2 linked regions of the Danio rerio genome follow. The protein of the gene in region 1 purifies or fractionates together with the protein of each later gene. This does not show direct contact. Links are inferred from orthologs where the notes say so. Each region holds a gene or a part of one and is shown on either strand. Other genes may lie near its edges. The genes, in order: cdc123 and eif2s2.

What was found.
Region 2: the proteins of cdc123 (region 1) and eif2s2 purify together in Homo sapiens (affinity purification with mass spectrometry; 4 studies listed by BioGRID and IntAct, counting the BioPlex papers as one, with this or other methods). This does not show direct contact. The link is inferred for Danio rerio from reciprocal best matches to the Homo sapiens genes CDC123 and EIF2S2.

The regions. Positions count from the first base shown.
Region 1 is NC_133179.1:8,360,627-8,365,050, forward strand, and holds the start of cdc123 (translation initiation factor eIF2 assembly protein), read left to right. Parts: upstream 1-1,343; 5' UTR 1,344-1,370; coding exon 1,371-1,444; intron 1,445-1,712; coding exon 1,713-1,784; intron 1,785-1,877; coding exon 1,878-1,938; intron 1,939-2,849; coding exon 2,850-2,882; intron 2,883-4,371; coding exon 4,372-4,424. Other genes in the region: nudt5 (ADP-sugar pyrophosphatase), read right to left, coding at 590-657, 783-836. UniProt on the Homo sapiens protein: ATP-dependent protein-folding chaperone for the eIF2 complex. Binds to the gamma subunit of the eIF2 complex which allows the subunit to assemble with the alpha and beta subunits.
Region 2 is NC_133181.1:52,639,652-52,643,484, forward strand, and holds part of eif2s2 (eukaryotic translation initiation factor 2 subunit 2), read left to right. Parts: intron 1-363; coding exon 364-464; intron 465-3,737; coding exon 3,738-3,833.

The sequences.
Region 1 (4,424 bases):
TCCAATCCACCAATCTACTTTAATAACTACTTATTTGTTCAACTACCTATCACACAGGGGTGGATTTACCCATAAGGGAAGCAACCGGCCGCTTAGGGTCTAAACATATATATATATTTGTCTAGACATATATAAGACTTATGAATTATATACAACATAATTTTCTATTATATTTTAAATAGTGAGGGTCTAACAAATAATGACATAACTAATGCATCTGCACCAATTTTTTTAGGAAGGTTGGGCCCAGTTAGGTAGCAGGGGTGGGTGTTACCACCTCTATCACAGCAACCTACAAATTTTCCTACCCCATCATCTAGTTATTAACCCACTAACCTACATACAAGGAAATATGTATTGTTCAAATAAACCAATTCAAACAATATTATTTATCTGATTGTTGTTTCTTGTCATTTTGCTACACTATAAACCAGATTATTCCAATTATATATCTAGAAATAAACAGGAAAAATACTTCAGCGCGTTTGATGCAATTAAAAAATAAACCAGATTATTTTGATCAATGAGAGTATCATCACGTCCACTCAGTCCAGAGGTCACATATCATTCACATACAGTCGATCAATACCTGGTGCTTCCAGAAGGATCCACATAAGTTGTTTTCTCAAGCTTCACCCAATTTCCACTCGCTACCAACTAAAATTCAACACAGAGAGGTCAAATTTAGTATGAAAAAGCAGTTTATAACAACGTTCGATGGTTTACATAATAACAAATCAAAACTTTAAGATGGACCTATGCCTTTAAAAGCAGATTCTTACCTCCTCTTTGATTACATGAGGTTCTGTAGTGGTGGCTTTCGTTGGAGAGCTCATCTTGATCAGTCTGAACAGCTACAGTAATTCTGCACGTACAACAGAAATTAAGTTACAAGGCGCATGATGTTGTCATTGATGACCTCACAGCCTATTTATACGACTTAACACATGACGACATAAACAATATGTCATAATCGTTTAAGTTAGATTGGTACATACCAGCAAAATTGCGGAAATGTGTCAAAAAAATCACAGCGACTTATCCTGACAAACCAAGTGATGTTGTTTAGTTGGTTTTCACACATGTAATCACGTGTTCACCGAACATCTGCCTGCGTGTGTGCAGCTAAAATAGTTCCCCCTCTTGCTGTCTCGATGTTATCGCTGCACACATAATACTGTTAACCAGTTCAACTTATTTAAAATAAAAGAAGTAAGTTAGCGTGTAAAATTCAGAGTGATGGTTAAAACAGAGTTTCGTTTAAACAGAAAAATGCGCAGTCGTGAACCGGAACTGCTGTTATGTGGTACTATCGCCATGTCGGAATGTTTTTGAGGTTGCACAGATTACCAGTGTAACTTTCAGGCAGCATGAAGAAGGAGCAGGTTGTCAACTGTCAATTTTCTGTTTGGTATCCTCTATTCAAGAAACACACTATTAAAAGGTATGAAAGGTGCTTACTTTATGGTAATATATAATGATCGGGGCTCACAGGTACAAAAAAGGAAAAAAAAATCACGCGCTAGGCTATTAAGTAACATTATATAGCAACGTGTACTTAAATACCCATTTATTCTCCAACCATCACACTTACCTACCATCTTAAAGTCTATAATACGTACTATAGCATGTCTTCGAATAATGATCGACATTTTAATTAAAGTATTATGTTGTAGGTAAACATTCAGTGATGATATGTTCTGTTTCCCCAGCCTGATTTTACCCATACCTCAAAATGTAATCGATTACCTATTAGATGATGGGACACTTGTGGTTTCTGGCAGGTGAGATTTGGACAAAAGTATGGTACTTAAAAAACTGCAGCACTTTCCTGTCTTGTCTTTATGAAATAAATGTCTTATTGTGTCTTTTTATAGTGAGAACAACAATTTACAAACACAGGCCAACAACAGTGACTCTGACGAGGAGGACATTCAGGTCAGAGTGTGTATATGTGCTTTTGTGACATATCAGGCCACAAATCTGTATAACGATATAGATATGACACAGATATTACAAGAAAGTGGTGAATTGTGGTGGTGAAGTATTATAAGTACTTATAAGCTCAGAAAGCCATCACCTTTTGGGACTATTATGAACTACTTTCTAACAGAGGCTACATGTGCTGTTGAAGATTACATATGAGAGGTTTGCACTGACTGTGGGCTATATTTCGTGTTGTTTTTTTAAACCCAAATAAGGACTAAATGTATGCTCTGTGTAGTTTTTCTGTATTTGATAACATATCAGAGACTGTAAGTGTCTGTATGTGTTCATACATGTTGCATCTAGTTATTTATTTTACATGATTTCAGACGTTACAGTAGGTTATTTCGCATTATCATTGATCTGCAGTTATAATCAAATCCTGTTCATAGAAAGATTAGTAATGAACATTTATACACAAGTATTTATGTGTATAAAACATCTGTTTCGTGAGAAGTGCTTCTCATAGGATATGTGAACAACCTGTACGGCGTTACATTTCCTTGAGTAAAAATTACATCATCTGAAACTTTCTGTAGTACACCACGTCCACCAACAGGGTACCTTTTTGGCAGTGGAAACGCAAGCTTCAAAAAAAAGTGACCCGTATCGTACATCTCAGTGGAAACGGGCCATAAATCAAATAGAATTAGTTTATTTCAGAAAGTATAACTGCATACCGTTTTCCATGAGGGTTGGGTTTAAGGATAGGGTAGGGTTAGAAAATAGAGTTTGTCCAATGGAAAGCAACGTAATGTCCCCACAATTCACAAAAACAAAGCTGTTGGAGTGAACTATATTGTACATTAAGATATCTGAAATAACGCAGCTTTCTTAATTCTCATAAATGCTTTTGATTCCAGTGGACTGATGATGAAACTACAACGACAGTTACAGTGAGTCTTATTCCTCAGTCAAATTGAGGTAAAGTTGGCTTTATTTTCGTGCATTTGTACATTTCTGAACAGTGACAACTCGTGACACTGTGCCTATATTGTTTACCGTGCTACTTTGACTGAATTATCAGTCTGAAACCATATAAATGCAGCTGCTAAGTATGCTTTGAAGCAAGTGGTGGACAAATGCCAAATTTCCCCATCTTTTATCAATGTTTACATTTTAAACAAGCAACAAAAGGAGTGGGATGCATTGGAAAATAATGAATTATACGAAATACAACTTGAAATCTTAAACAGAATTTTAAGACTTGATCAAGTGGTTTTTAACAGATGTGGTATTGGACATGCATGAATAACCCATAGTTTTTTGCTCCAAGATGAAAACCCGATACTGTGTGTTTGCACAATTACCCTTACTATAAAACATATTTTACTGGACTGTCCTGCTTTTAGGTGGTTCATTCCGCTGTGGCGACCCCAGATTAATAAAGGGACTAAGCCGACAAGAAAATGAATGAACAAATGTATGTCCTGCTTTTAATGATTTCAGAAGACTTTATGAAATTAAATCTCTCAAGGACATTTTTAGCAAAGTGAATATTTCTTTTAGAATTTGTATGATGTGTTAACATTGTTTACAGTCAATTGAATAGTGCTAATGTTGTTTTAAATGGTCATAGGGTTTCAGTAATGTAAGATAATGTATTTTTGTTGGCCTGTGTTTGTGAATTAACACTTAAACTCTTGTTTAATTTATGTATTCGTTTGTTTGTTGATTTTTAATTGTGTATTTATTATTGAAATGTTCCTGCCTTGAAAATAGCCTTGGTTGCTGACATGGCATTGAATAAAAAAATACATTACATTACTTTGCATTACTGAAACCTTATGACCAATCAAAACAAGCACTATTCAATTGACTGTGAACAGTGTTGTACTTTAAGTCAGTCATTGGCTGCTAATATCCATTTATTCATTTTCTTGTTGGCTTAGTCCCTTTATTAATCCGGGGTCGCCACAGCGGAATGAACCGCCAACTTATCCAGCAAGTTTTTACGCAGGAGATGCCCTTTCAGCCACAACCCATCTCTGGGAAACATCCACACTCACACTCATACACTACAGACAATTTAGCCTTCCCAATTCACCTGTACCGTATGTCTTTGGACTGTGGGGGAAACCGGAGCACCCAGGGGAAACCCACGCGAAGGCAGGGAGAACATGCAAACTCCACACAGAAACACCAATTGAGCCGAGGTTCGAACCAGCGACCTTCTTGCTGTGAGGCAAACGTGCTACCCACTGTGCCACTGCCTCGCCGGGCTGCTAATATGATTTCCCTAATTATAATTTGTAAAGGAATACTTTTCTAATATTATATCGTCATAGAAAAAGTCGGAATGTGCAAACATAAAACCAACTTTACCTCATTGTCAACTTATGTTAATACTTTTGCATATACTAAATTATTATTATTATTTTGCAGGCTCCAGAATTTCCAGAGTTCAATGTAAAAGTGCAAGAAGCAATAAATGTTCT
Region 2 (3,833 bases), on another chromosome or scaffold:
AATTATTTAGACAAAGTAAAATATTGTTTTGTTTTCACCGTCAGAAGACATAAATGTAAGTTTAAGAGTAAATGATCTGCCAGTGGGGCAAGTGAAATCTTGTTTTTGCTTTGAAATTGATATTTGGACTAGAAACTAACTAAAAAGTAAGAAAGGTTTTTTTTTTTCTTGCATAAATCGTATACATGCAGTGATTAAATACAATTCTGTGGCTCCTGGTCAGCTATAATTCAGACTAGACATTGCATATCTTTGCAATGTGACTATTGCAAATGCGCACATTGGGATATCGATGCTTAAATGACATATTGTGCAGCCCTAATGAAATGTTTACAGTCTAATTGTGTGCTGTTTATGTGGAAGGTGTCGAAGATGATGACAGTAAAAACGCTGATGACATCACGTTCAGCACACAGACGGGCCCTGCGTGGGCAGGATCAGAAAGAGATTACACTTATGATGAGGTAAATGGCAGAAAAGGCTGGCTTGCTGTGTGTGTGTTTCAGGTGATGAAGGCCCAGAGACTTCTGCCATCTGGTCCATTTATTGGCAGAGTATATTTTACCTGCTAACTTGTCTTTTATGAGACATACTGGAAATGACTACTGATATGCGGAGGATTTTTATTGGTTGTAGTCAGTTCGTTGTAGAAGTCAGTTCTCATTAAGATCACATGCATGTAGTTTATCATGAAAACTGTAGATGTGCTCCAGCAACCTTGGACAACCAGAATGTTGCAAAATACAATTTTAGTTTAGTTCAATAGTCATTTTTTATTTAAACTTAGACACATCTGTTGTTTTAGTGTTAAAATAAACAAACATTTTAATACAGAATAAAAGCTTGCCATGTCTAGGCATGGGCCGGTATAAGATGCTGACGGTATGATAACCTTGGATAAAAATATCACAGTTTTACGGTATTGTAATTACTGCTCTAATATATGCTCTTTTTAAATGTCTGGATAAAAAAAAAACGTTTTCCCCTTTCAAACACGATGTATTTTATTTTAAGAAACATTTAAAATATTTTGGAGCAGTAAACATGTCAGGCTATAATTTAAGTTAAATATTGACTTCAGCTGTCTTCATTTATGTCAAAAGCAGATTTTTTTTCTCACAATTTAAAACACCATCTTTGGATATCTTTTACTGCTGGAGATACTGTTGTCCTTAAAAAAAGTTTTAAAGTTTTGAGTTTTAAAACCTTTCTTTTTCAAACGGCAGTGTATAGACCCATGTCAACAGCACAACCCAAACTCTTCCAGGCCACAACTACAACTTATAGACAAGCCATATACAAATTTGGTAAAGCTTCCTACAGGGTGCCCATAGGCTCCTAAAGTTTTAAAATGTCTTTAATTTAAAAAAACAATTTAGGCCTTAAAATCTTAAATTCACTGAAATATTGTGTCATCGGTCTTAAATCATTTTAAGCAGGTCTTGATTTTCCTAGGTCCATGTAAAGCTACCCAATCGGTCCAACATCCATCACTAATAATCCATCTCAAATTTTTTTTATATACGTTTATATTGTTTTTTTAATATTTTATTTATAATGTTTTAAAAATATCTATTTTATATGTTTTTACATATATTTTTATATTTATTGCAAATAATACAATTCACAACAGCTGTTTCTCACATTTTTACAGCAAATTGTCTTAATCCGGGAAAGAAAACTAAAGCAACACATCCCTTTACATAATCTTCCATTAATACAAAAGCTATTAACAGAAGCAACTGGGCCATTAGAAAAAATCTTTAGTGTTTAACTCCGTATAAGTCCAAAATTTTATTTATAATAGTCTTAAAAATTTATTAAAAAGTCTTAAATTTGACTTTGAGAGGAAAAATAAGTGAAATCCCTCTCCCAAATATAAAAAAAATAAATCAGGGGTATGACTGACAATTCTCAAAATAAAGACACAAAAGTTGGAGTACCAACTTTTTTGTCAGCAAAGAGCAGCTCAACAAAAAACAACTACTTCATACTTTATACGCAAGTGTCCCCATACAAATTTGTTCAAAAGCTATTTTTTCAAGTATTTGGATAAATTGATCACATACTAAGTCAATAAAAATATTTGTGACAGGTGATGTGAATTATGTGACATATTTGAAAATTATTTAACTGGAGAGGAAGTGTTTGGATGAGGCGAACAGCATCTCTTAGGTAATCTAGAGTAAATGTTGTAATGTTTATGTTAGTGGGAACCCAGTATGAGACTTGAAAGTAATGAAGACTTCTTTCAGGCAGTTCAGAACTGATTCTTTCCTTTGAGCCAGTAACACCTTTAATCCTGCAGTTTGATCTTAGAAATTTTAAAGACCTTTTACATTTAGAATCCGCTTTATTAAAGCTACATGAATTGTAATATCCAAAAAAACAATGTGGGGTCACATTAAAACGGAAACTATTTTTTTTTTTTTACTGTGGATGTAACCATTTACCTAATTTATAATTAAATAAGACTGACAATACAGATCTCAAGATATGATTTTTTTCACAAAATGAATTGAGATATGAAAGGAAAAAGTGGCCTTTTATTAGTTCTGAAATACTGCACATTTCTTAGTACAATAAAAATATACACTCACCTGCCACTTCATTAGGTACACCTGCCCAACTGCTCGTTAACGCAAATTTCTAATCAGCCAATCACATGGCAGCAACTCGGCATGTTGACATGGTCAAGACAATTTGCTGCAGTTCAAACCGAGCATCAGAATGAAAAAACAAAGGTGATTAAAGTTATTTTAAATGTGCTGATCTTCTGGGGTTTTTACGCACGGCCATCTCTAGGATTTACAGAGAATGGTCTGAAAAAGAGAAAATATTCAGTAAGTGGAAGTTGTATGGGCGCAAATGCCTTGTTGATGCCAGAGGTAAGAAGAGAATGGCCAGACTGGTTTTAGCTGATAGAAAGGCAACAGTAACTCAAATAACCACTTGCCAAAGTCTACACAAGAGCGTCTCAGAACACACAACATGTCCAACCTTGAGGTGGATGGGCTACAGCAGCAGAAGACCACACTAGGTGCCACTCTGTCAGCTAAGAACAGGAAACTGAGGCTACAATTTGCACAGACTCACCAAAATTGGACAATATAAGGTTGGAAAAACGTTGCCTGGTCTGATGAGTCTCGATTTCTGCTGCAACATTCGGATGATAGAGTCAGAATTTTGCGACAACAGCTTAAAAGCATGGATCCATTCTGCCTTGTATCAACAGTTCAGGCTGGTGGTGTTGGTGGTATAATGGTTTGGGGGATTTTTTTTGGCACACTTTGGTCCCTTTAGTACCAATTGAGCATTGTCAACGCCACAGCCTACCCGAGTATTGTTGATGACCATCTCCATCCCTTATGACCACAGTCTACACATTTTATGATAGCTACTTACAGCAAGATATTGCGTCATGTCACTATCAATCCAATGGAGCACCTTAAATTATTTTAATTTCTCAGAAATTAAAACAGAGTTTGCAGCAAACATAATGGTCCCCCACTGTAGTACAATTTGTCTAACTTCACATATTTTAATTGAGTTTCAACTGGATTATGGGGAATCATTACATCCCTGTTCTTCATGTTAAGCATTTTTCCTGACACCAATACATTTGATTACTCTTGAGACTAAATAATGAGTTTATAAATAATTATAGTTTGTTAAATAATGACTGGTTGCATCAGCTCTTAAGATTAAAGGTGACTGAAAATATCACATGATTTTAGCTTTTGAACAGGGTCTTTAACATCATGAGGGAAAAGAATCCAGACATGGTCGCCGGAGAAAAGAGGAAGTTTGTGATGAAGCCTCCTCAGGTGGTG